4 linked regions of the Mytilus edulis genome follow. The protein of the gene in region 1 binds, or shares a complex with, the protein of each later gene. Links are inferred from orthologs where the notes say so. Each region holds a gene or a part of one and is shown in the gene's direction. Other genes may lie near its edges.

The links.
Region 2: jouberin-like (region 1) and meckelin-like share a complex: the UniProt entries of both Homo sapiens proteins name them as parts of the tectonic-like complex. The link is inferred for Mytilus edulis from reciprocal best matches to the Homo sapiens genes AHI1 and TMEM67.
Region 3: jouberin-like (region 1) and transmembrane protein 237-like share a complex: the UniProt entries of both Homo sapiens proteins name them as parts of the tectonic-like complex. The link is inferred for Mytilus edulis from reciprocal best matches to the Homo sapiens genes AHI1 and TMEM237.
Region 4: jouberin-like (region 1) and B9 domain-containing protein 1-like share a complex: the UniProt entries of both Homo sapiens proteins name them as parts of the tectonic-like complex. The link is inferred for Mytilus edulis from reciprocal best matches to the Homo sapiens genes AHI1 and B9D1.

The regions. Positions count from the first base shown.
Region 1 is NC_092344.1:20,716,294-20,723,613, reverse strand, and holds the start of jouberin-like, read left to right. Parts: upstream 1-4,310; 5' UTR 4,311-4,389; coding exon 4,390-4,402; intron 4,403-7,320. UniProt on the Homo sapiens protein: Involved in vesicle trafficking and required for ciliogenesis, formation of primary non-motile cilium, and recruitment of RAB8A to the basal body of primary cilium.
Region 2 is NC_092348.1:16,559,130-16,566,375, forward strand, and holds the start of meckelin-like, read left to right. Parts: upstream 1-4,219; 5' UTR 4,220-4,425; coding exon 4,426-4,621; intron 4,622-7,246. UniProt on the Homo sapiens protein: Required for ciliary structure and function. Part of the tectonic-like complex which is required for tissue-specific ciliogenesis and may regulate ciliary membrane composition.
Region 3 is NC_092350.1:20,110,219-20,118,059, forward strand, and holds the start of transmembrane protein 237-like, read left to right. Parts: upstream 1-4,830; 5' UTR 4,831-4,903; coding exon 4,904-5,194; intron 5,195-7,444; coding exon 7,445-7,715; intron 7,716-7,841. Other genes in the region: low molecular weight phosphotyrosine protein phosphatase-like, read right to left, coding at 4,771-4,807. UniProt on the Homo sapiens protein: Component of the transition zone in primary cilia. Required for ciliogenesis.
Region 4 is NC_092352.1:63,763,123-63,770,513, forward strand, and holds the start of B9 domain-containing protein 1-like, read left to right. Parts: upstream 1-4,369; 5' UTR 4,370-4,469; coding exon 4,470-4,526; intron 4,527-7,391. UniProt on the Homo sapiens protein: Component of the tectonic-like complex, a complex localized at the transition zone of primary cilia and acting as a barrier that prevents diffusion of transmembrane proteins between the cilia and plasma membranes.

The DNA.
Region 1 (7,320 bases):
AAAAACTGAGCAACACGAACCCCATCAAAAGCTGGGTTCTCCGAAAGGTAAGCAGATCCTGCTCAACACGTGGCACCCGTCGTGTTGCTAATGTCAGGACAAATATGGTAATGCGTCTTAATTCGGTAAGACACATTTGGGGAACATGTGAAGAAAGTAATATTGTTATGACGACAAATGGAACATATCCGTCGTAAATTTCTGAAACATATATTTTATAATGGTCAACTAACCCGAAATGACGTCCGTACAATATTTGAAGGCAAGACTTTAAATTCAACACTTGGAACACTTGGTTCAATAGCTTCCTTGTGAGCAGCAAATCTCTGAAACATATATTTTATAATGGTCAACTAACTTGAAATGGCGTCCGTACATTATTTGAAGGTAAGACTTTAAATTCGACACTTGGAACACTTGTTTCAATAGCTTCCTTGTGAGCAGCAACCCTCTATCAATGAAACCATGGTCGGAAACACAAGCCCTGAAATATTGTATCAATTGAAATATATATGCTCGGTATGCAGGCGCTGCTGGAATGTTGTTACATAGAAATTGGGAAGCTGAAATCATCTCTTCTGTCGTACAGTTTTGTTTTCAACCGAGTCTCGTCAATTCCTAGATGTTAGTCAAGATGTGAAGCAGAATTTACTGTATCTGTTGTATATTTTATCTCAAGTTCCATGGGGGGCGGTAGATGCGTTCAACACAGTTACCAAAATTTGAATTTTTATTAAGTGAGAGAACATGATCTGTATATATATAGCGGAAAGTTAAGTAAAAGGATACTGTTTTTCTTTCTTCCAAGGAAATTCCTGCATAAAACCAGCCTCATGAATAAAGGAACAAGTCGACAATAACGAGAGCACCGTTGGTTCCGATGGAAATGTGGATTCTTTGTTGAAAAACATGTCCTCCGAAGGTAACAAAGATGTTGTCTATCAAGAAATCAAGCATCTTGACAATATCAGTAATTGATTTTTTTTGTTTGAATAAGAGTGGTGTTTTACAAGGTACGATTCATCCGAGAATTTATCCCTCCTTCAGACAAGATACGTGGATCTACTTAAGCCATTCTTTTTCGTGAGATAAAAACATGACAAACTGTTTCAATTTGTCTTTAAGTTTAATCAAGCATCTTGACAATATCAGTAATTGATTTTTTTTGTTTGAATAAGAGTGGTGTTTTACAAGGTATGATTTATCCGAGGATTTATCCCTCCTTCAGACAAGATGCGTGGATCTACTTAAGCCATTCTTTTTTGTGAGATAAAAACATGACAAACTGTTTCAATTTGTCTTTAAGTTTAATCAAGCATCTTGACAATATCAGTAATTGATTTTTTGTTTGAATAAGAGTGGTGTTTTACAAGGTACGATTCATCCGAGAATTTATCCCTCCTTCAGACAAGATACGTGGATCTACTTAAGCCATTCTTTTTTATGAGATAAAAGCATGACAAACTGTTTGAATTTGTCTTTTAGTTTGGAATGGGGAATACTTGTGTAAAGTAAAGAAAAAGTCAAATGTTTTATTACTAAATTGTAAGATGCATGAGTCCTAGACTGTATGAGCTATAAGATATCTTTGGAATGTTTTAGTGATCCACACCAACACTAGAATATGAACTTTCACAATAACTTTGAAGTCCGGCTTTGATTGTTGATAAAAATTTATGTAAAGAATTTAGAAAGAGGTTTTGTGGAGCACTTGGAAGACCCAGCATTACAATGTTATTTCAGTTTCTTTTTTAACATTAAAATATGTTAGAATGAAGAAAAAAATGATACGGACTTCGTTCCCTTTCACATGTAACGCCTGCGTCGTATTATATATTATCTTAAAACTACTGAATAATTAATATTCAAGAGCCCTAAGATTTGCGCAACGGTACTATAAATATAAGATGGTATTAAACGGAGACGATTTAAAAATAGTTTAGTGACAACCATCTTCATCTTATTATCGTTCCAGAAACTTAATACTATTAGACCAATATTTGTTTTCCTTAATGTGCGCAGTATCGCCGATTCTACTCGATTCGGTGCTGATTAAATTTGCTGGTTGGTCCTTTTTAAAGACTTTTCAGTTACGTGCCATATATTAATTGTAATTGTATGTGTATTGAAGAAACAACAAAAGAACTGCCAATGTTTACCAGCACTGGAAACATGATCTCATTTATCTTTAAATTCATTTTCTAATATTACAAATTTATTTTTTAATATTAAGAAATCGTGGGTTTTTTTTTTCTTTTTTTCATGTTAGAAATTAATTTCTAAATATGAGAAATTCATTTCCGAAAATAAGAAATCATTTCCGAAAATTATAAATTCATTTCTTCATATGTATTAGAAATTCATTCTCTAATATTAGAAAATGAATTTTTAATATTAGAAAATGAATTTTTAATATTAGAAATTCATTTCTTAATGTTAGAAATTCAATCTCTAATATTAGAAAATGCATTTTCAATATTAGATAAAATAATTCTTAATAATAAAAAAATGATTTTTTAATAGCAAAACATATCTTTTTTTGTCAACGTTGCCATACTGATCGATTCATTTCGTATATGAGACGATATCTGCAAAAGTATATTTCCATGTTCCATCTTTTACCAGCAATTATTTTTTTATTAGTTTAAACATATTTATTTATAGTGGATTGGGAAACAAGTTTTATGCAACTTATATTTATCCCTTTCCACTTCAGTTGCGGGTGCGAGTGCTGCCTTGTAGCGACATTAGCCTGCTCTTTTTCGAAATCTACAAGAGTGTCTTTCACCATGTTCACGTGCAAGAGATATGGCTCTCTCTTAACATGGATCAGCAATTTATCGTCCCCTTCCGACGGACTATCATCGTTTCCTCAAGACCATACTCGCAAATAGTGACAAGGGATAGCCGAAAATTCAATCCCTGAAATTTTCATCCCGCAACGGGAATCGAACCAGGAACCTTTGTGTTAGTAGTCCGATGCACTATAACCACTACACCACGGCTCTCTATTTTTGTATTCAACCAGATTTTTTTTTAATTTTAAGTTTCAGTATTAACTAGAGTATATAATGCACCAACTATTGCCAATTAAATACTCTTTCTTATATTTCTTCCAATAAAATATTATAATTTGAATATTCAACCCCCAAAAATTCTTGTTGTCCGGTGGTGTTATCTGACAACTAAATCATTCAAAGAATATCCAAATTAAGTAAACAGGCTTCCGATTTTCACAAATATGATAGATCATATAGAAAACTTGTCCCTTACTGGTCTGATTTTGTTATAACTGAAGCATGTGATAAAATTTTGCATTTTTAAGGGTCTTTTAAATTTTGTCTCAAGGGGTAATTTCCCTCCTGTTACCACAAGTTTTTTTCACCTGTGGAACCGTTTGAAAGACCAAAATTCGATGTCTTGTAATGTAATGCGAATAGCATCATTTCCTGAATGTTTGACTCCATATGTATAGGTGACTGGCAGCCAGTTTGAAAAATCCTAACTCCCCAAAGAAAAGAATTTAGGAAGAATAATTTTGTTGTTCTCTTCTGTTAAAGTCTTTTTGTGTACCTTCTGAGAATATTTCATTGTCAGCACCATATAACAGTAAATGTGTTTTTATAGTATCTTATTAAATTGATATGTAGATGGAGTAAAATTCAACACAATTCATATAAAAGGACAAAAACTTGAGTACTGTGTAATTCCTTTCTGTTACGTTCTGTCATGATATACTAGTATACCACAAATAGAATCTTTAACTTATTCTTTATTCCCATTAGGCAGCAACCATTTGATTTTCGGGGGGGAAGGGGGGCTATGGATTCAGTTTGTCCAGACAAACTTTTTTGACAAAAAGCAATCTACTTTTTTGGCCGACAAGTCGAAAACTGTTTGAATTACAGACAACAGTTCCTAGATCCTCAATTTGTGTTCTTCGATTTGTGCTATTTAAACTATGTTAAAGTACCGGTTTTAAAGACATTTTTTTTCCTATTGCCAAACTGAAATAAGACATTTTCATATATTGTCTCATATAGACTTAGTTTGATTTTTATTCGTCGGAAAACTCTTATAACTTCTGACATCAATGTAGCAATAAAGATGAGACCATCAATGTTAGTCATGCTCGGAAACGGTATTTAATAATGATATTTGTATTAATTTGTTGCCCCCCCCCCTTTTTTCCACCCCGTCATAATCACTGTTAAAAAAAAGTGTGGTTTATGTCTTACTGGACAATTTAAAAAGAGTTCAATGTTAATTTTATAATGATAAAAAGTGATCAGCAGAATTAGATATAATTTATAAAAGTGATGTTGGTCATTGATAATATTTCAACCAATCGAATGAGGCGTTATATCTGGTTGCCAAACGTAAACAAAAATGGCGGATGAAGGTAAAGTTTTGAAAATTTACACATGTTTTAATAGCATTTATCACAAGTCTGATATTATTCACAATTTTACGCACTGTCTAGTGCAACAATAATAAACAGGATATACACAATTCTTGTAATAATTGTAATTTTGTGTAAGAAACAACAAAATAAATGTCAATGTTTACCACAAAAACATGATCTGACCTGAATTTTTCAATTTTTAGGTTGCAATCTTTATATTCACTCATTTCGTATAGATTGAGTTTGATTTTTATTCGTTGGAAAACCTTTTGACTCTTATTAATTCTGACATAATAAATTTTATGTATCGATAAAGATGAGACTATTCATGTATAATAGTTTGACAGTTTTCTTGTAAAAAAGGGTTGTGCTATTTAAAATCTTTAATCATGTTAATTGAGAAACGTACGGTAATTGAAACTGAACGAAAAGTTGGCAAAATCAAATGAACTGGATATTTAAAATGTAGTTTACTTTCCTCTAAAACCTTGCTAAAGTAAATAGAACAAAGTTTATATATTAGATAATAGATCATACCCGTCGAGTAAAAGCCAATATTGGAGGTGGGTACAAGTCAAATCGGCACCCATAGAAAAAGTCAAATCGACACCTGGTTAAATCGGCATCTAGTCAAATCAGCACCTATTTAAAATCAATTCGACATCCAATAATATTTGATATAATATATGGTACTGGGACTATTATGCTAAGTTAGTAATTCAAGTATACTAGCATAATAGTCCCAGATATATATAAATAATTCTAAAAATGTTTCGCATATTTCTGTTAATATTTTCACAACTATATGATACAATCTAATAGTGAGAATTAATACAAAAACATTACCACAAAAAGACTTTTTATGGATATATGGTATCAGGAGAAAATAAAAAATAATAAAATTCGAATTTAAACCATTCAGGTATCCTCATTTCCATTGTGAGGACAAGGAGAATAGCACAAAATGTTAGGTTGAAGTATATACATTTGAATTTAAAACATTGAACTAGAACATTTTTAAAGATAAACTTGTATCACCTGGTGTAAGAAAATGTGTGTCAAAAAACTTATAACTTGTACAAAAAAAACCTGTAGTACAAACTTACATCTTGTACACAACATACAATGTAAATATTAAACAAATTTAACATGGGTGCCGAATTGACTACATCAAGTGCCGATTTAACCAGGTGCCAATTTGACTAAGTGCCGATTTGACCAAGTGCCGATTTAACCAGGTGCCAATTTGACTAGAATTCCTTCGACGTAACAATACAGATACAGATACATTTGTCATATAACATATCTAATACATTGTTGTAAGTCTGAAAGCAGGGAATACCTGAATCCCACATTTCCTGACTTGTGCCCAACCTGTTCAAAGACAAAGTAGATAGATTTTAAAGCACGATTCAGACCATTTTTACTTAAAGTCTTTAAGATTTTATCCTTCAAACAGGAACACTGTCAGAGGTTAGACACAAAACATCTTTCAACCCACTGAGTGCATCTTGATTTGCTTTGTGTCTAACGCTACTTGTATGATTGAAAGGTGTATATTGTAGTCAAAATTTATTACTTTGGTTGGCAATAAGTTGAACTTATTATAACATATAAATAAATACAACAATAGTATACCACTGTTCAAAAGTCAATAATTAATTAAGCTAAAACAAAACCAGGGAAATACAAATGTACATTAACTATATGACTACATTTATAAGACATTCTAAGAAGAAACCAACCGGAACAACAGAAAACTGAACTGCAACAAAAACGAACGCAAACATGAAAACAATTAATAATAAATGCCATTTTCCTGGTACAGGACATTTTAAGAAAACATGGTGGTATGAACCTGGTTTAATGGCTAGCCGAACCTCTCTCTTACATTGTATATGGCAATGTTAAAAATATTGCTAAAATTACAACATTTCATGCAAGCATTACAAATAAACAAAAGATAGAGAAATACACAAATAAATAATATAATACTACACAACAACATATAAACCACAGAATAACAAAGGACACCTCCGATGAATCAGAGTTCTCGTTAAGACGCGTATACAAGTCATTTTTGAAACTGTGAGTCCCAGGAATGCATCCTGATTGTATCCCCTGAGTCCCAAAAACATTGTTTTGCCTATAAGATTTATGATTGTCGACATTGTTTTGACAAGAAACTTAATGGAGTCGATGTTGAAATTATTTGTTTTAAATGTGGCCCTACACCAAGAATTGATAGACCAAGAAAGAAGTCTGTTATATATTTTGTAATGAACAATTACTATTAAGAGATCATAATTTTTATAAATATCTAATAAAAACTACAATTTAACATGCATTGTTTTAGTTTTATTTCGTCATATTTCATTATATTAAGACGCAAAAAATAATATTACATGCATCCTGGACTCACCATGAAAAATTCCTAGTGAGAACCCTGATTATTTATTTTTTTATCAAATTTTCACCACATTATTTGCAGTGAGAAATTTTCTGATTTTTAGTGCCAACTCCTTTAATTTCCACACAATATTACAAGTTCATGTAAAAAAATATTCTTTTCTATTCATGTACAAAATGTATATATGACTAATGTATTTATAACCAATATGTTATATGTTATACATACATGTACATGTATAAAGCAGATTTGTATTATTATTATACTTTTAATTCCTGTTATTACTTTTAATTTCAATGACAGCTGCAGCAATTGAACAGTCCATCAATTCAATAGAGAAAGAATGTATATTATAAACCTACAAAGTAATTGAAAAGTGAAAGTGGCAAAATATTGTTCTATCAAGTTCAATGTATTTATATACTATTTTTATATTTTCATTGCCCATTGTACATCTGTTGCTGTTAGTATTTTTTGTCATGTTTGTAGTACATTTTATTTGTCC
Region 2 (7,246 bases), on another chromosome or scaffold:
TTTCACAGCAGTGGGAGTATTTTCCCTGTAAATTTCAAGGTTTCAATAAATTTTCATCAAAAAATTTCACTGTTGAAATTAGTAGGGGTTATTAAAATTCTATATAAGTTTTTTATTGCATCCTTGGAAATCTGATTTAAATACATATCTGTTTTAAAATCCTTTTTAAGGGTTAATCATGATACATAGTTGTGGAGGCAGAAATTTCATTGTTTGACATAAATTCCTAGAACAAAAGGTGCAAAATATAGAACTGAATGGAGCAGAGATGAGTGCTTGATAGTGTTCATTATATCGTTAATTCATTGTAATATTTTGTATTGATTGCCTTGCATTCTCTGAGGACTGTAGCTGTTTCCATTATAGATTGGTAGGTTCTGAGATCTGTTATCATGATGATAGGGATTTCAACTTTCTTATTTAAGGAAAACTACAAGGCATTAATGATTTATTGGTAAAGATCCAAGTTTTTCTGTACCCAGTTTTCAATCCATTACCATGGCATTTGTGCAATATCCAGGGTGACATGGTTCACCTTATTTCATGGATTTTCTTGCATTGTTTTAGTCTTTTAAACACTATATTATACATTTGAGAACGATTCAGGTAAGTGAGGATGTACTTTGGTTATGGCAATATTAATGTATTCATTGATGTTTTAATGAAGGTTAATTACTTTCTGGTAGTATGACTTGTCAAAGCAATGCTTGCATTGTGACAAAGTTAACAAAATGCTCCCATTAATCTGTGCAAATAAATGTTTTCCACTCAAATAATTTGAGAATCATTAACATTTGTTCTTGGTTGTATTTTTTTTTGGAAGAAACAATGTTGAAAGATCTACTTTAAACTTAAATCATGCTTTTTACTAATGTTCATTCAACATCAAGGATTATCTAGGATTTTCCTTACATACCCTGGTCCGTGTTTTACCATTGTCTACATTGTCATGATTGTCAAGTCAACATTTTGAGAGTCGTGGTGTAGTGCATCAGACTACTGACAGGTTCCTGGATCGATTCCCGTTCGGGATGAAAATTTCAGGGACTGAATTTTCGGCTCTCCTTTGACACCATTTGCAAGTATGGTCTTGAGGAAATGATGATAGTCCGTCAGAAGGGGACAATAAATGGCTGACCCGTGTTAAGAGAGAGCCATATCTCTTGCACGTTAAAGACACCCTTGTAGATTTCTAAGAAGAGCAGACTAATGCAGCTACAAGGCAGCACTTGCACCCGCAAAGTGGAAAGGGATTAATATAAGTTGCAAAACTTGTTTCCCAATCCACTATAAATAAATATGTTTAAACTAAGTCAACATTTGGTATAAGTAAATGTGATTTCGAAAAATGCAAGTAAAGTTTTTTTTGAAAATATTATTTAGCATGAATAAAGATTCTAAGGGCAAGGTAGGTATAAGCATGTACAAATGTTTATGTTGTATTTCCCATACTTTGATTGATGAATTGTCAATTAAAAACTTTAGTCAGTACATTGAGTTTGTATCATATAAATTCAAGTTTAATATCGTTTTTATGTCTGACAATCATCATTGTTTATTTGATGCCCAACTGATTATCATGATTACCTTAAGCTTACGTTGCAGTATTTACATGTATATAATTAGTCTTAAGGGATTAAAATTGAGGTAAGACATAAATAGACCAGCTGGCAGAAATATTTCTTAAGAGCCGTTGATGACAGTCACAGTGCAATGTTTACTTGTCATTTCTATGTTCTCAATGTGTTCCAAATTGAAGTTTGTCATAAGTTGTTCAATTAAGGGTTATCAATCATATTTAATTAATTTTTTTGAGAATCAGTTAACATTACCTTCTTTTAACATTGATTTAGGGTTCTTACATTACATTATTTCCAAAATTTCTATGAAAGATTTATAGTTAGTTAAGGTCACGGCATGCTTACAATCTGTGAGGGGGGATAGGACCTTAATCAGGACTCCTGGATCGGGTGTTTTTAAGCTTGGCATTTCGGGATTGACCCTTTTGGGATTTGGGAAATCTTTTTTTCGATTTTCGGGACTTCAGGATTTCGCATTTTTAAGCCTGGGATTTCAGGATTTCATGTTTTTAAGCCCAGGATTTCGGGATCAGGACCCCTCCTACCTCTTCTCATCTGTTGATGAAATTAAGAGTACTGGAAGACCATTATTCTATAGCAATTATTATTATAGTATTATACAATATGTATGAAGTTCTTGATAAAACAAAACCATTTTCTTTGTAAAAAAAGTCTATTTTACAATGTCCAAAAGTTTTGCAATAAAACTTAGCCATTAAACTACTTAAAACAAGATATTCACAATTTTTGTTAATGGACATGATAGGCAAGCTCAAGTTTCACTTTAGGCCAAATATGGCCTTAAATTTATAAAATTTCAAAATGACCAGAATTGGCTGTCAGGATTCTACTTTGTCAATTTAATTTTGTCTGACTTCTTTTAAAAAAAAAAATCAATATGGGTCCCATTTAGCTGTTTGGGTATGGGTGATCACTGCAGAAGTGAGCGGCATTATTTTGTAAATAAATTTGTAGAGTGCTTTGATTCTTAAGATTGTGTAACATGCAACACAAACAAATTTTGTTTTGAATGCAAAATTAGATATGTTGCTGTAGTTGGATTACTTTGTCTATGAAAACTTATCTTGTAATGATTCACCATGTTTAAATCCCATTTTGTTTCAGTGTGTAATCCTGTTCCCTGGTATATTAATTTTTAATACTCTTACATTTATAACTTTGACCAAGATGAACAAAACTATCATAGGAGAAAAACAGACTTACATGTTATTAATAAAATCTTAAAAATAGTACCATGATTTTAATCATGTTAAAATAATAGTAGGGTGAAAGAATACAGTACTCTATGGACTGAAAAACCAAGGGCAAATAAACTCTGGGTGAACATGTTTTTAGGGTTAACAGACGGGCTACCAACTGGTTTAGTGGCAAAAATTCTTGAAAGCTCACGAGGCCACATGTAGACAGTTTTTAATTCTTTTTTATTGAGCCTTATATATTTTCACTTCTATAAACCAAGATGTACAAAAATACCAAGTTTGGTAAACAGTAGCAGTACCATAAACATGATAAATGCTTTTTTTTGTACTCTGACACATAAATTATTTTACGTATTTTTTTATATTCTGTAACTTTGTGTTCAACGTGTCTAAATGTCCTATTATATTATTTATGTTTGCATTTCTCTGTCCTTGTTCTTGCATTTATTTGTACTGTTTTCCTGTCATGTAATGTTGTCATTTTAGGGGTATATTTACATTGCCTTGAACATGTGTAAGTATAAAGTTTGGCTAGCCACAAGACCAATTTCAACCTACATTTTTTTCTTATAATTAATGTCCTTTACCAAGTCAGGAATATGGCAGTTGTTATCGAATAGTTTGTTTATTCGTAAATATTGCATTGTCGTTTGTTTTTTGTTGCACTTCAGTGTTTCTGTTGTTTTCCTCTTATACAATGTAGTTGATGTGTTTCCCTCGGTTTTAGTTTGTAACCCCAGATTCGTGTGTCTCATTCGATTTATGACTTTAGTTTTAAACAGCAGTATACTTCGATTCTGTTGCCTTTGTTTTAAATTATGGACAAATCATATAATTATCAATTATACTTCATGTCAACACCTGTAAATAAGTAATTTTCACGTTTGAAACGGAATATACAGCAAAATCTCTTTACATAAAATGTTATTTGAATTGAACTCTTTTATAACATGGCCGAAACGACCAAGGCCGACATGGAACCATCAACCATGGACGAAACTTTTCCAATACATCATTACATTGGCATTGCATGCAATTTTTCCACAGAACTTACATATATAAAGGGAATTTTAACCGCATGTGAACGTTTGTACCCTAACATATTGAGACCAATCGTGCCCACTTAAACATGCCATTACAGTACTTTTTACGGTAAAGCTGTGTCGATAAATCAGAAAACCACGCGTACTTGCATGGAAAACATGGTCTGCAAATAACATTGTATAGGAAATATTAGCGGCTAAAATGAATTTTTAGTGTACCTAATGTATTGTTTAACAGATTGGTCATGTAGTTATTGCAAGCAAGTCACTGGTTACGTGAAAACGATCTTTTTCTCCATGTAGCATTTTGCTGTTTTACTGTAAAAATGGCGACCAAATGATAAAAAGTAACCGGAAGTCACCGAAACGGGATAAATATTAGTGAATTGAAAATTACATTTGAAATGGCAAAAATAACCAGATGTGATTTATTACATTCACCAATTTCAAAGAAAAGTTTTTTGAATTTTTAAAAATTTCATAACTATATCAATAAAGGCTTGAATAGTTTGAATACATTTTTATGTGATAAAAAGCGTTCTGACGATCTTGACTACTCGACAACAACAGCTCACAACAATCATGGAAGACAAGTGCGCGAAGTTGATCTTACTATTGAACATTTTTGTTGTTGTTCGTTGTCAGTCTCAATATAAAGCTTTTGAAAACATAACTGATTGTAAAGAAACTGGGCTGTTCTTTCAATACTACCAAACATCATCATTGAAATGTTTAACGTGTCCAGAAAATAGTACTTCTATGACTGTTAGTTCTGATGGTAAGATCATGCCCAAACAAGACATGTTCATCATAACAAATGCTGAAATGGCTCTATTTACACCTTAAAACAAACTTTGAGTACAAACTAACCTGTTCAAACGGAAAAGTTTTAAGGACTGACATCCAATAAATTCTGTTATCCGAACATACGGGCATTTTTAAAATCAGTTTTCTCCCTTTCTTAGTAACGCCGATTTCCGTTGATAAGGCGGTGAAACATTGTTAGTATGGTTATCGTGTTAATAAAATTTCATCGTGAATTAATGTGTATTTTTTTTCGTGTACTTGTTGTGATGTAGGTTTGTTAAAATCGTAACTTGAAAAGCTGAAATAATTAATATGAGGCAGGCATTACCTGTAAATGGGGACGAAGTCAGTATAAATTATTTTTTTGTAACTTAAATATTTGTTAAAATAAAAAGAAACGGAAATACCGTAACGTTTCCGATTTTGGTTCTGTTGTTAGGGATTTTAGTTGTGACGTTATTTAAATTATGACGTCATATGCAATGTAAACAACGAAACGCTATCATCAGGTAACGTTTTTTTCATATCAAGGAATTATTAAAAATGAAATTGGTACTGCGCGTTCCTTCCTATTTTATACTAGACTGATAAATATATATTTTACTCAAAGTTTCATACAAACGAGACCGGAAAAAGGAAGTACATTGTACATTTCTGCGCATGTCCGGGATTTCAAAACATGACATAAAAAAAATTGAACGATTTTGAGTTCATTAGTACAATGAAAAATTCGGGAAATTTTCCCGAATTTTTTTTTTTATTGAATTTTCTACTGTTATTGGGGACTTCGTCCCCATATTAATCTTTACACTTAATATGCAGCTAGCCTACAAATTTCCGCTTTAAAAGTCAATTCTTTCACTCTCTTGTGTATATAATTAATTCATAATCTGCAGAAAAATTAATTAAAACCATTCTTATTATTTCATTCATTTTTCTTTCTTTCTACTGTAGTAGAAACGGAGACGACTTACTGAGTGAGAATACAATATCACATCTTTGCAATCTTTGCCTTGTTTAATTTTCCTTAATCAAGGTCATGTGCAAATTAAGTTAGGTAATAAAAATGTCGACATCAAAGAAACGTTGAGAAAGGTAAATATTAACTTGGTCATCTGGCCATGGTTGATTTTTGGTATCCAGCCGGGTTATTAGGTACGTGTGAAGTTAAGGATGACAGCGGTAATTAAGAATACTAGAATTTCTTCTAAACTTTAACAACAAAATGTTGATGTTATGATGTTAATTCAGAAACGCGAACGAAGACATTACTTATTAAAGGTGTATGAATATTCATTGATTGAGATGATAAACATTTGAAGACATTAAAAAAAAAACGCACTTTAAAACATTAACCCACAGAAAAACTTATTTTTGAATATAATTTGGTTACTGTCGAAAGGAATACACATAACACTCAGCCGGAGAAAGAAGATAATTTTTCTCATGGGTTGGTGATTTTTTAGGCAGTTAAGCTGCCTTATGCGAGCACCCTGGATTTGTGTTCTACCCAATAAATGCTGAAATACGTGCCATTGTTATCATCTAGCTGGCTACTATGTTATTTATAACTTATTGGACAGTTTTTTCATACTTTTCATTCTGGATTACAAAAAATATGACCAGAAAAACCTTAAATGATCGTCGATTTTCCCAAAAGTTTTGAAGTTGCACATAGAAAGTAGAGCACATTAGGAATCCTTATGTAGTTTATTATCCCCTGAGCTTTTGGCTATGATGTCAAAGAACAAATGTATGAAATATTTAATCGCCGTAAATCTCTAAAGACAAGTGGTTAAGATTTCCCAAATTGCAAAAGTCGTAGGAATATTGTTTGTCGTCAATACGTAGTCAACTACATCAGTAGTCTATTAATATAAGTCCAACTGATCACGCTGTTGGCGGCAATTTTGAATTAGAAGACGAAATGTTCGTATCTTTTCAATTTGGACGCAGGGGTTCAAATAAGCGGTTGTCCGAGGTCTGCGACATTCCACTTTTGCAGTCGGACTTTCTACTTGGTTACTAGCTACGCCCGACATGCCCGACGGACCTTGAAAGAAAATAAAAATAACTTTGCAAACGTTTTTACCAAAGTTTCGATCTAATAAACGATCACAAACTTATTTTAATCATTACTATTTATGACAGCGATGTTCAATTTGTTCAACTGCTAGCTTTATACAGAAAATCGCCGACATATAATGTGTAAATCCGAGTAAAATCGTATCTCACTATCTGTCAAAAACAACAAAATGGCTGCCGCGAGAAGACAATTATAATATCGGATCCGATTCCGGAAACGGATAAGGGTAATCCCGGGTTTTGGCTATTAACTAAAAAAAATTCAGACAGGTGACAAAATACATCTTTGCATGGTAAAGAAATATAAACACTAGAATTGAAAACCAAAACATATATGTAAAAGAAAGAAAAAGCAGAAAATAGTTTGTACACCAATTTTAATGTCAAAATCCAATACAATGTGACAGCTGGGAACAGTTTATCTGACAATATATATGTTCCTGGTAACAGTATAAATTTTCTTTATCAGTGATAAATGTTGGTAATGCATGTTAGATGCTTTTAAAGTTAA
Region 3 (7,841 bases), on another chromosome or scaffold:
AAAAAAAATCTTGCTATTGCACAATATTTTGCAATTAGATATTTCTTGCTTACTATTCTGGACAAAGAAAGATAACTCTAATTAAAAAAAAATTTGATATTTCACAATATTGTGCAATTAGATATTTCTTGCCATTGCGCAATACTGTGCAATTGAAAAGACTTGCTATTACACAATACTTAATATAATAATTTTAGATCCTGATTTGGACCAACTTGAAAACTGGGCCCATAATAAAAAATCTAAGTACATTTTTGGATTCAGCATATCAAAGAACTTCAAGATTTCAATTTTTGTTAAAATCAGACTAAGTTTAATTTTGGACCCTTTGGACTTTAGTGTAGACCAATTTGAAAACAGGACCAAAAATGAAGAATCTACATACACAGTTAGATTTGGAATATCAAAGAACCCCATTTATTCAATTTTTGATGAAATCAAACAAAGTTTAATTTTGGACCCCGATTTGGACCAACTTGAAAACTGGGCCAATAATCAAGAATCTAAGTACATTTTTAGATTCAGCATATCAAAGAACCTAACTGATTCATTTTTTGTCAAAATCAAACTAAGTTTAATTTTGGACCCTTTGGACCTTAATGTAGACCAATTTGAAAACGGGACCAAAAGTTAAGAATCTACATACACAGTCATGACAGTTAGATTCAGCATATCAAAGAACCCCAATTATTCAATTTTGATGAAATCAAACAAAAGTTTAATTTTGGACCCTTTGGGCCCCTTATTATGTTGGGACCAAAACTCCCAAAATCAAACCCAACCTTTCTTTTATGGTCATAAACCTTGTGTTTAAATTTCATAGATTTCTATTTACTTATACTAACGTTATGGTGCGAAAACCAAGAAAAATGCTTATTTGGGTCCCTTTTTGGCCCCTAATTCCTAAACTGTTGGGACCTAAACTTCCAAAATCAATACCAACCTTCCTTTTGTAGTCATTAACATTGTGTTTAAATTTCATTGATTTCTATTTACTTAAACTAATGTTATTGTGCGAAAACCAAGAATAATGCTTATTTGGGCCCTTTTTTGGCCCCTAATTCCTAAACTGTTGAGACCAAAACTCCCAAAATCAATCCCAACCATTCTTTTGTGGTCATAAACCTTGTGTCAAAATTTCATAGATTTCTATTAACTTAAACTAAAGTTATAGTGCGAAAACCAAGAAAATGCTTATTTGGGCCCTTTTTGGCCCCTAATTCCTAAAATGTTGGGACCAAAACTCCCAAAATCAATACCAACCTTCCTTTTGTGGTCATAAACCTTGTGTTAAAATTTCATAGATTTCCATTCACTTTTACTAAAGTTAGAGTGCGAAAACTAAAAGTATTCGGACGCCGGACGACGACGACGACGACGACGACGACGACGACGACGACGACGACGACGACGACGACGACGACGACGACGCAGACGCCAACGTGATAGCAATATACGACGAAAATTTTTTCAAAATTTGCGGTCGTATAAAAATCATGGGAAAAAGATCGCGAATGGTTGAATTATATAGTAGATCGGAATTTAATGAACTGTACAACATGTGAAAAAAAGACCAGTAGATTTGGAGCCGGACCAGTAGAGTTTTTAGTCCACTGGTCCGGCTGGCCAGTACACAAAAAAGCTTAAATTCGACCCCTGTGTATAACCCATATCTCCTTTTATTTATATTCATTTGCATGAGTCATTTTTACACTGAAATGATAAAATTATGTTAAAATGAAAAGATTACCAGTATGTTTAAAAAGGGATGTGAAGCTTACAACAAATTAGATTCAATGAAACAGCAAGAAATCAAAACAATCACACATTCAATTAATATAGTCAATGTAACCTTCAGTCTCTATATGAGGGGGTTGGAGGGGTCCTGGTCCCGAAATCCTGAGCTTAAAAACATAAATTCCAGAGGTCCTGAATTTAAAGAAATTTAAATCCTGACATCCCAAAATTTGAAAAAGGAATTACAAGATCCTGAAAGGATCAATCATGAAATTCCAAGGTTAAAAACAGCTGATCCTGGAGTCCCAATAAAGGTTTGATCCCCCCTCCTATATGAAATATGCTTAATTTTTTTTCTATTAGTTTCTTTATCATTGATATTTCCACAAATCTACTTTTTCAGTCTGTTACAGTTCAGTCAAACTTTACTGTTAAAAGGAATTAATTCCTTAAAATTAACATGATTAATGCTTTCAATATAAACATCTTTTTTTATTGTTTTAAAATCTTTGAATCAGAGTCAGACAGCATATTAAACAAAATGTATATATAAATTTTGTATTTAAAAGTACAGCAATGTTGTATGGTTCCACAAAGGATTGAGCTAATGATACTATCTAAATAATAAATTGTTTTCAATATGCATGATGAGGTTGGCGGTTATATAAACCAAAAAAAAAATTTCTAAGATATTCTCAAATTATATTAGTCATTACCATTATTTTTTATATCTTTTTATATATCAGGAAAACAGTTCTAAGTGATTTAATTTCAAATATATTCACTTGGCTTTTCATTAAATATTAAGATTACAATCCCAAGCATCAATTGATTTTAGAGAATGAAACCGTCAATTCATAATAATTATTTTTTGTGGTATTTATTTTACATGTATGATACTTTATTTCATAAGAGAATCAATTGTTGTTTTGTCCAACATTTATTTGTTCATCAACATGACCAACTAGTTGGATACTAGTTTTAAAGGAAGTATTTTAGCTTTTCAATAGGCGACAGACAACAGTTGCATGCAATCATATGTGTTTTCATCTTACAGATCACCATGTTCATTTTCATGATTATAAAAATGTGTTGTAAAAAATGTTTTTAACAATTGGGTGTGAATAAATCTGCTAAGTACATACATTTTTGTACATGGTGCTGCATGTTCTTTTTTTATTGAAAAATTACATTCAGAGAGTTCTTTGTATTATAAATCAAAATTTAAGATTGCAACAAAATTTTGGAAAAGTGTAATATTAAGAACACCCCTTTCAATATTATTTTATTGTACATAAAACTGCACTTTTATAAATATAATTGGTCAAAAGCTCCAGGTTAGAGCTTGTAATGTATATTTTACTTATGCTGAATCAAAACAATTTTTTCTAATCTTATCATTTCAGTTTTAGTTTATGATTGCTTTGTAAAAAATTTCCCACTAAATTTACAACATAGCAGATTTTCTTTCATCACTGTAAAAATTTTCTTTTCTTTATATAGGGTAGCAAGCAATTAATTTTAGCTTTCATTTTGGATGTGAAAAAACTAGAATCAAAATATATGTGGTCACCGAATGAGGGTCCTGGCAGTTTATTATGAAACTGGTAATCTATGGTGATTGGAATCCATGAAAAATCGCCCCACTGGCAATTGCCCCACACCTAATCGCCCCACTATTTGAACAATCGCACTTTTGTTTACCAAATTGCCACAGGCACTTGTCTAAGAAAAAAACCACTATATATATATTAAGGTATATAGGAAAATTAAATTCTGAGACAAGTGCCTGTGCAACTTGCCCCACCTATGAAAAAGGGTAAACTCCCATTGAAAATAGGTTGGATAACTTGCTCCCTTTTATGAAATGGGTAAAAAAAGCCTCTGAAATAAGGCATGCCACCTCGCCCCACTTGTGAAAAATAGATAAATACTGATGAATTTAGTAATGCCAACTCGCCCCACTTGATGCAAAAGGTGCATTCCCATTGTATATATATCTATTTTCCTCTCCCACTTAAGTAAATAAAATCAATACCTATGAAAACCTTAGATAACATTTTTCTCCCGTCTGAATGGTTTTACACTAGTCATTTTGGGGGCCCTTTATTAGCTTACTGTTCGGTGTTAGGGTAGTAATGAGGGTACCTTCATGACAAATAACCGTACTTATTCTTGCCAAATGGCGTTAGAGAAAATTTTTGGTGTATGACGATTAAATGTACTTTCTTTGAGTCGATAAAAATAGTAACTAATTTAGACGAATCACGTTAATTTTTTTCCAAAAATGACGGTAACAATAATTATTTGAGACCGCTGACGAATCACAATAAAGATCTTTGACAAATCATCAAAATTTTTTTAACCAATTTGACGCTTATGGTAGCCGAAAATGACTGTTTGATGCCTGTTGATAAAGGGCATTACTACTTTCATGTTGAAGACGCTTAACTTTGACCTACAATGGTTTTTCTTTTACAAATGGTGTCTTGGATGGAGACTGAGTTGTCTCATTGACAGTCATACCACATCTTCTTATATCTTTTTGGTGGTTCTTTTCTTTTTGTTGAAAAAAAAATTAAGAAGTGAGTATCAGAATTTCTGTGACGTGAATGCTAATTAACTAGCACCACTTGTTAAAATAGAAAAATCTTGATGAATTGAGTCTTGCAAACTTGCCCCACTTATGGAAAATAGAAAAGTCCTGATGAATTGAGTCATGCCACTTCATAGTTTTTGAGTGGGGCAAGTTGGCAGACCTGCAAATTATATATTCATCTAGATTTGACCTTTTCATTAAGTGGGGCGAGTTTGCAGGAGAAAAAATAATGCAATTTAACCCTTTTCAGTTTGAGGCGATTTTTTTAAAAGTGGGGCGAGTTAGTGAAAAAGTGGGGCGATTTGGTGTGGGGCGATTTGTCCTTACGGTGATTGGATGTTTCATTAAATCGTGAAAGCTTTTTACCCTTTAAAAAGATGGAAATAAGTTATTACGGGCTAACAAATTGTCTAAGTTAGAAGGAGTTAGATTACCAAGGCAAATAAACAAAACTGAATGCTTTTTAGACATTTTCCTGCAACTTTTTAGGAAGACTGCTGGTGGATTCCGAAACGAAGAGAATTATCCGAAAGTTACCGGAAGTTGTTTTGTTTATTGGATACAAAAATGGCCGACAATGAAAATCCTCCGAAGAAAAAGAAATTGCCACCAGTTACACAGGCATCAGAAGAAACTGATGTCCAGAAAAGACCAGTAAGAAAAAAGAAAAAGAAACCAACCGAAGCAACAGAAAATGGCGAAACCGGATCAACAGCCACTACTCCTAAAAAGAAGAAAGCACCTGTTGCAACAGAAGATGGAGACAAACCAACTCCAAGGAAAAGGAAGAAACGCAAACCACCAGAACAGGCTGAAGATGGACAACCTACATCAGCAAGAAGTGCTGCTAGTCAAGAGGTTATTGTCATAAAGATCTGCTTTCATTCTAATACGAAATATACAAGATACATGTAAAGACATTTAAAAAAATGATGTGTTTGGACTTGACCAGAAAAGGCCTAGGATAACCATTAAATAACATCTGAATAAGGAATAGGTTTATAAGATGAGTAACTTTTAGGGAATACTTTAGGATAAATTAATTTTTCCATTATTTCTAATCATCTGTTTCTGAAATCAATTATATTTTCCTTCGTTTATATAAAAAAAAAACATGACTGAAGTAGTGGTGTAATTGGAATCTGGGTCCGTTCACCCTGATTCATGTTCGCCCTAGTATCTGTTCGCCCTGATACCTGTTCGTCAAGGGTCCATTCACCCAATTTTTATTTTTTTCTATTTGTTGTCTAGTTGCATTATTTAAGTATTTGAACAAAATATGTTAAAGTTTGTTGAAAAATTGACAGAATATTTATATTGCCGTAATCAATTGTTTTTATTAATTTCAAGCTGAATATTTTATCAAAATAACACGTTTGTTTTTATTATTAATCCATCAAAAGACAAGTATCACAATAACCAGTGATCCGAATTATTTTTTCTTTAAACAATTAATGATCCTAAACAAGCAATAAACTCTGCAATGTTTCCATAAATATCAAGAATATACATGATATATATACATTGTACATGTACCATAGAAATATCTCAATAAATTTATTCAACTTCAATTCATATTGATATTTTTATAGTAGGACGAACAGACACTATGGGCGAACGAACTCAGAGGGAACGACCCTAGGGCGAACATGTCATTAGGGCGAACGGTCCCGATACCGTGTAATTGGCAGTATTCAAACAACTTGCATAGTTCTGGATGTCATTTCATCCAATACACTTTCACACCCTGCAAGTTTGCACCTCACATGTTTGCCCCCTGGGTCTGTTAGCACCCTACACCATAGTACACATTCAGGCCCAATTTTTATTCAAATTCCAGATCAATTATTAGATATTTATTTATATGTAATTGTATTAAGCAAATAAATTATATTTTCCTAAATAAAAATTGAGGAATTATTACAGTTTTTGTACATGGTTTTATTTTTTTTATTAATTTGATGATAATTGGTATTTATACACAGCTAAATTTGGTATTATTGTCTTGTGTCAGAAAATCGTGATGGTGGTTTTAATTATTATACTTTGGTGTAAATAACCAAAATATGATTAAGATTTATTCAATACAAAACTTTGTCAGAATGGTACTTTATTTTGAAACATTTCAATGTCATTGAAAAAAAATACTTATAGCAATACACAACCAAAACATGATAAATATTTATTTAACAAACCATAAAAAGACAGAATCTAACTTTATTTTTGAAATAGTGATATGTTCACTAACCAAAACATGATATAGATTTATATAGAACTCTATTACAAAATTATTAAACACAAAACCTCTTATTTTTACTATAAAAATCATTGACAAAACAAATAAAAAGGGTGGGAACGAACTTTGGGAGCGAACATATAGGGAGCGAAAATTAAAGGAGTGGAACCAGAATGGGCGCGAATGTACCTGGATTCGATCTCATTTACATGGCAACCCCAGTACTGGATAAGGCAGTACATTGTAGTTTCACAAGAAACAGAACGAACTCTGAGTCTCAATATAATTTTATAAACTGTTACTAAGTTATCAGATATAAACAAATTTTGGAGAAATGGTTCATATTACTACACGGCAGCCTCAAACAACATAGTTAATGCGCTAGTATAATAATAATAAAAATGCTGAAAAAATACCATTAAATAAAAAATTGGGATTCACTTGTATATTGATTTCAGTATGGATGGCTGTTTAATGTCCAGTAACGAATTTATATGCATATATTCATAATTCATGATGAGAATATGATAAAGTGATATGAAGATAGACCATACCTTGTACTCTGACAGGCTTTAAAGCAATATTTTTAACATGCTACTTGTAGCTTACAAGGTAATAGTCTGCAAGACTATATATCACCTTACCAGGTACCCAACACATATTTCTGACTTTGAACTGACCCATTTTTGCTCTTACTCCTACATGTACATGTAAAAGCTACATTATCGAAGAAGCAGCAAATAATAATTTTCAAGATTACATTACTGTTATGATAATTAATTTGAACTTAATTCTTAAGTGAAGAAACTTTCAAACTGAAATAGTAATAACAGGTTCATTTGTACTTATGATAATAATTGATTTATTTCCAGGAAGTTGGTGGTAGTAAAACAAGCCTAATATCTAAAGATGATAAAAAGACAACACCAAAAAAAAAAGTGAAGAAAAAGGTGAAGAAAGCCTCACCTAGAGTTGGAGATGAGTTTATGGATGCAGCATTTGCTGCAGACTTGTCAACCATACAAGAAGATATTGTAACACCAGACGGCAAGAAAGACGAAGATGTTATACCTCATCCCTACTCTACAGAATCTATTGTACTCAAAAGTCAGCCATTAGATAATCTATTTATAGAAACTAATTGTAAGTAAAAAAAAATGTACATATAAACCTGCTAAAAGGCAGGTGTTATTTTTCTCATTCACTTCATTTAAATCTGTTATACAGGTCTGACTTAAAACAGTCTATCATTCTATATATATATACAAC
Region 4 (7,391 bases), on another chromosome or scaffold:
TTTTAGTATTCAGCTTTCCATTAGTGATATAGATATCAAGATCGAGAAAAGGGCAGTGGTCATTGTTAGTAATAAGCCAATCTTTTCCCCATTGTATGGCTGCTTCTAGGTCTTCCTGCAGCTTAAGACAGTTTTTTAAAGTTTTAATTTGTCAATAGATTATATTGTCATCTGCGAAGAGTCTGATTTTGCTATGTTGGATGTAATCTGGGAGGTCATTTATGTTTATTAAGAAAAGTATTGGTCCTAGCACTGTACCCTGTGGGACACCTGATGAGGTATTTTTGAAGATGACATGTTTTCTAAAAGTACTGTTTGGGTTCTGTTTGAAAGAAAGTATTCAACCCAGTTAATGATTTGATCTAATATTCTAAAGTATTTCATTTTGTATAGTAATCTTTTGTCAGTGGTACCTTGTCGAAAGCTTTAGCAACATCCATGATTATGAGATCTGTTTGTATGTTCTTGTCATTGTTTTGGAATAGTTCATGAATCAGTGAGATAACTTGGGTCTCACATGATCGTTTTGCCCTAAATCGGATCCATGTTGTAATTCATACAGAGTGTTGTTTGTTTTTAGATGATTCATCCAAATGCTGCTTGCAAAGATATGTTCGAGTAATTTGCAAACTATGCATGTTAAGGATATAGGCCTATAGTTGCTTGGGTTGTATAATATTTATCCCTTTTTTTAAATACACTGTTAAGTTTTACATTTAGTTAGGAAAGTTTTTAATTTATTTTAGGTCCCGCGCGCTAGGTTGTGGCGTCACGTGAAGAGGCTTTATAATAGTGAAAATTTAGTTTATTTCTTTCTGTTTACATCTGTTAGGTGGAGACCGACAACATGTATATAACGAGGGAATACACACGATGTATTTCTTTTGTCATTGTAGGAAATTGACGTTTCGATCACAGTTCACGAGCAGTGCATGCTTTGGATTTAATTTATCCTGTGTAACTTTAAAACACGATTATTGATTATTTTCTTACAATATACATTTCTCAAAAGCAGCTTGTAACACAGATTTTATTATAATACAGGAGCAGACATTTTATTGTAGGATTTCATTGAGATTAACGGACCAACAAGCGATTTTTACGGCATTGCAATTTCTCAGTTTTCTCTACGGAAATTCTTGCCGGGGATCGAGGTAGCTGCAACATGTTGTTTTGTGAAGTTTTAATACATGTATGCCGTTTTACAATATAAATCAATTGCTTTAAAAAAAAAAAACAATTGTAAACGGTCTCCCCCCCCTTTTTTTACCTAAGAAACATGATTGATTGATTAATGTGTGTTTCTTTCTTTCTTTCTTTCTTTCTGCAAGGGGTTCATATTATTGTGTTATCCATGCCAAGAAATCCTAGCTAAAAATTTCGGTGGACCTCCTACGGCACCCATTAGTAGATACAGATTTAATTTCATTCAACAAATTAATTTATGACCTTTATGTACTCGCTAAGAACACGGCCATATACCAAATGGTCAATATTAATCATCCATGTAATTTGCTCTATGGGATATTTGCAGAATTTCAACGGTGTCAATTTCTTGGCATGGGTGTGACAGTTTCATGGTTCCAGTCAGATGGTACTTTGCCTGTTTGTAGTGAATCTGATCTTGTAAATATTAAAGTGAGGATATCTACATATTCCGATGTTTTGTTTAAGTACTTTGACTGCGATGGTATCAGGACCGGTAGCTTTAGTCGGGTTTATGTTTTTAATTAGTTTTAATTTTATACTGCACTCGTTCTATTTGAGCAGTCAAAATGCGTTGACTGTATATTTCTATGCCATATACGGTCACTGACCTGATATCACTTTTCCTCATGAATATTTAAAAATAGAAATTGTCGAAATTGTATTTAATTATTCATACGACCTCTTCAACCTGTTCTTGTTTCCAATGTAAACAACGATGCGTTTAACGAATCAAACTTGTTTCTTTTGCAATTTTTGGGAAAACATATTTCACTTATTAATATTTTTTTGTTTGGAACCTATAAATCATTATGTTTTATGTTTATTGATGATATTTTAGTCTGCAACGAATTCGTTCATCATTGATTGCGGTAATGATCGATGTACATTTCATCGTGTTTTTATATTTCTCCATCTGTGTGATATGAGGCCTTTTTAAAGGGGGATTTTTCCCAATATTTAAATCAAATAAATAACATTAACACAATAAACAACAATTGAAAATGTTTTTTTTAGATTGCAGTATAAAGACAATAATGGTGCATTGACTTGACATATCAACGATATATAAGGATTCGGCCCAAAACGGGGAAAATGCTCGGCAGAGCCTCGCATTTCCCCGTTTCTAAGCCTCATCCTTATATCATTGATATGTCAAGTCAATGCACTATTATTGTCTATGTAAACACCATCCCTAGATATTTTAATGGGTATCATTATGGGGTATTTACTAGGACTTTTGTCTGGAATGTTACTTAGTGTTTGCTTCAGATGTAAATGCAGACTGAAACTGTTTTCGTATTTCTGGCTTTTGATGTAAGAGTACAGTTTTTAAGGTGTATTTTTGAAGCATGGTTGATATGGCTCCTTTATTTCAATATCGAAAATCATATTTTCTATGTATTGCCAGTATGAGTTTCTCATTTCTTTCTGGAGCTTGGTTTTAATTTTTTGGTATTGTTTTTTTTTTATAAGTTGTGATTTTTCTTTTTCTTTTTATATAGTTTCTTTTTCTTTTAAATGAGCTTTTTAAGTTGGTTATTTACCGGCCAAGGTAGTTTTGATTTGTTACCAATGCTTTTTGTTAGAATATGCTTGGTAATAGATTTTTGGATGTTTTTTTTTTTAACGTGTTCCATACCGAGTGGTTCCAAAGTTCATCGAGATTTTAATTAATTATCTTGATCTTGTTTTAGTTGTTTGTATGTTTCAGTGAGATCTTTTTCTATTTGCTCCCAATTTGCCTTTTAATTTGTAGTGTAGTACTTTATGAGCCTGTTGCTTATTTTGCGGCAGAGTTAAGTTTATTTCTATGTAAACAATGTCATGATCACTTGCTCCGATTGGTGGTAATGTTTCGATTCTATTAACAAATGATGGATTGGTCATACACAAAAGGTCTAGGGCTGTGTCGTTTCTGGTGTTCTTGTTTAGGACCTGTGCTCGGGGGGGCCACTTCAAACTTTTTTTGGTAGGGGTGAGCAGCTGAGACATCAAGTACCCCACCCTTTTCATATATTTTGTTAATCAAAAATATATACCTTGTCATATATATTAATTAACAAAAAACAGACCTATAGATATATTTCAATATTTTCCAATATTTTCCCCGCTCATCATCTTGTAAATAGTCGCAATAATATCACCTTCTTTTCCAAAAAATTCGTCACATCTTAAACACTTTTTTCTTATTGCCGTTTTACATCTTTCATTATAAAGATATTTCAATTCCAAATTACAATACATATAAAAGACGTTTGGTCAGATCATAGATGGTATTACATCTGTGGTCAGATAAATGTAATATCACCCCAGAGCATGCAGAGTGTAACACCTTCACTGATTTTAACATGCTAAAATATTAATTTAAAACTGATAAAAAGTTTCATTGCCTTTCCCTCTTAAAGGACGCTGTCACAATGGAATTTATTTAAATAATTGTTATCATGTTTTATGTATACAAACCCTTGAATGTTAATTAGGTGCAAATGTCAAAATAGTTGGATTTATTGCATCTATCACTGGCATCAGTGGAAATACCACATCAGAATAAATAGATTTTAATTGGTTTGACAAATAACTGATGCATTTACGACTGTGGTTTAACCGCATCAAAAATAAATACGGACATCTGATTAGTTTCAGATACTTATGATATAATCAAGCAAGTGATAATATCAACCTATTGATATATTTCATCTGAATTTCTCACCCTTTTCATATATCGTAGAGCATGAAAAAGTGACCTATTCCAGCGGCTCATCCCTACCACTAATTATATAGCAAGTGGCCCCCCCGAGGACCTGTGTTATTAAAGTGTTATTAAAGTTGTTGTCATTCAATATCTAAACTCTAGTTAGAATAATTGAATAATTTATTTTGAACATTTTAAAAATGTTCAAAATAAATTATATTTTACATGCAAGAATTATCAGTTTATAAATTAGATTAGGAAAGACACCTTATGGCAAAAAGAAAAACCCTGGGTTGAAATGTAAACATGATATCAAAATAATATTGTATTAGTTATACAACTTTTATCATACTAGATGTATATTCTAATTTCTTCCAGTTGGCCGATTTTGTTTAAAGCTCGATTTTGTAATAGTCCGAGTTTTTAATGGGCCGAGAATGCCGGATATCAACCGCTCGGAATACCTTGATACCCGCTCGGAATACCTTTTGTAGTATCGTACAGTATTATTTTGTCTGTCAACATAGAAGTGATCTGCACAAACTGAGACTACACAAACAAAACAAAAATGACAGCAAATTCAGTATTTCTTGTAATGGTTGGTGGACAAATTGAGTCCGGAGAGGTAAAATTTGGAAGAAAACCATTATAATCTTCTAAACACTTTCCATAAAACCTGAAAAAAATAAAACAAATTCTCAAAACAAGCCTGTTCATGTTAAGAAAAAGTCAGCATATCAAACAAAACATTATAGGAGAAATCTGTGGTTTAATTGAAGCATACATTTGTATTAAAACCGATAATCTGTACAGTACCTGACCAAAAGTATTTGTCACAGGCATTTTGTTTGCTATATATTTAAAAGAAAACACATTTAAAAAAAAATATTTATAGGGCATTTATCAGGTCAGGAATAACCACCAATTGGTGGATTATACCTCAATTGACGTATAATCCACCAATTGGTGGTTATAGGAATAACCTGTTTATGATTGGATTTTGATCAACAAGGCCTTAAAAGACGTAGAATATTGTCTAAAGAATGTTTGTTTATTTGGTTATACTTTTATCTTCAGCGTTCAGGTGTTTTTGTTTTCTCTCGATGTGAACACAAACAATATTTTTTTGTAATTTAATTTGGTTGAATATAGCGAATTTCTGAACAAAAAAATATTTGTGTTTATCTTGTGAAAAAATGAAAATGATCCTCAAAAAAAATATAACCAAATAAACAAATAAATCTGTAACAATTCTGCTTCTATTGGTTATTATTTACAAGTTATTTTAGTTCTTTCAAAGTTTCATATCTTTGATTTTACTGCCATGCCAGAGTGCCAGCAAAAATAGTTTAATAATAATTTAACATGTTAGCCTTGGGTCTGTTCACTCTGAGTTCGTTCGCCCATAGAGTCCATAGGCGGATCCTGCCCCCCCCCCCTTTTTCATGCGAAAAATTTGGTTGATTATATAGGGAATCATTGAAGCATGACTGGGGCATACCCCCCTTAGGTCAGTCAGCGGGCCCCCCTTAGGAAAAGTTCTGGATCCGCCACTGGAGTCTGTTCACCCTACTAAAAAAATATTAATATTCAGGGCATTGAAGTTGAATAAACTTTTATTCAAATATTTCTATGGTATATATTTTCTTGAAATTTATGGAAACATGGAAATATTTAAAAGTTTATGGCTTGTTTAGGATCATTAATTGTTCAATGACAAAATAATTCAGATCACTGATTATTGTGATACTTGTCTTTTGATGGATTAATAATAAAAACAAACGTTTTGTTTTGATAAAATATTCAGCTTGTAATTAATAATTTTAAGCCATAATGTCATGAATGTACGAGCTGTAACATTGTAAATGATGAAACAGATTTACAAGTTCTTTTATTTATACTCTGAGACTAGTCTCAGTTATGCTGTATACATTCATGATTGACCATGTTGACTGAATACAATTATTTTGTTAACAAATATCAATAAAGATAAATACATTGTATTCCAGTATTCTACTCTGCAAATCAAAGGGAAAATGATAAATTGATTGCGGCAATACAAATATTCTGTCAATTTTTCAACAAACTTCAACATATTTTGTTCAAATACTTTAAATTATGTGACTAGACAACAATTAGAAAAACATAAAAATCAGTGCGAATGAACCCTGTGCGAACAGGTATCAGGGCAAAAGGGTATCAGGGCGAACAGGTACATGTACTAGGGCGAATGGACCTGGATTCTAATCAGATGGCAATATCAAAAGTTCAAACACATCAAAAGAATGAATATAATATATTCCATTGATTGATTGCCTAGATATCTATCAGAGCTAGTACTCAAGTTCATTGTATCTCTCAGTAAAGCCAATAAGTATTCAATAAATAAACTGTAATTTTTCACTGAGTAGCTATAGACATACCTACACATGTATTATAGTATAAATATAAACCTATATAAGTACGACGGCTTGGTGAAAAATTGTGCACATCCTGCTACAAGCATGAAATTTGGCATAGACCTTCCTCATCTATTACTCTTTTATTTCAGATAGAGAGGCAATTGAAAAAAATATCGCACTTCTGGTAAAATCTAAAATGGCGGACTTCATACTTAAATCAGCCCAATATCGAAGGCTAGTATGTGAAAAGGTGTTTTAATCATGCTACTATCATAATATTTGGTACAAACCTTTGTTTTTTACTACTTTTAGATACATTATATAGATTAGATGTCTTGAAAAACCCTACTTACGGTAATATCTAATATGGCGGACATTGTACTTAAATAAGCTTATTTTTTAGGGAGTTGAATATTTAAATAATGAATTGATATTTCTATGTCCGCCATTTTGAATATTACTGGAAGTAGGGGGTTTTAAAGACAGATTTTTTATACATTGTATCCATTAGAAGCACCAAAGAAAGGTTCCTGCATAATGTAATGATAGTAGCAATACGTTTAAACACATTTCAATTACCCTCCCTAAAAAATAAGCTTATTTTAGTACAATGTCCGCCATGTTGGAATTTACTGGAAGTAGGATTTTTGCAGACATCTAAACAATATAATATATCCAAAAAGTAGTACAAAACAAAGATTTGTAATATTATGATTGTAGCATGATAATAACACCTTTTCAAATACTAGCCTTTGATATTGGGCTGATTTAGTTTAAACATATTTATTTATAGTGGATTGGGAAACAAGTTTTGCAACTTATATTAATCCCTTTCCACTTTGCGGGTGCGAGTGCTGCCTTGTAGCGGCATTAGCCTGCTCTTTTTCGAAATCTACAAGGGTGTCTTTAACGTGCAAGAGATTGGGCTGATTTAAGTATGAAGTCTGCCATTTTGGATTTTACCAGAAGTGAGACAATTTTTTTCAAATGCCTCCCTATCTGAAATAAAAGAGTAATAGTTGAGGAAGGTCTATGCCAAATTTCATGCTTGTAGCAGAATGTGCACAATTCGTCTGAAATATGCTTGT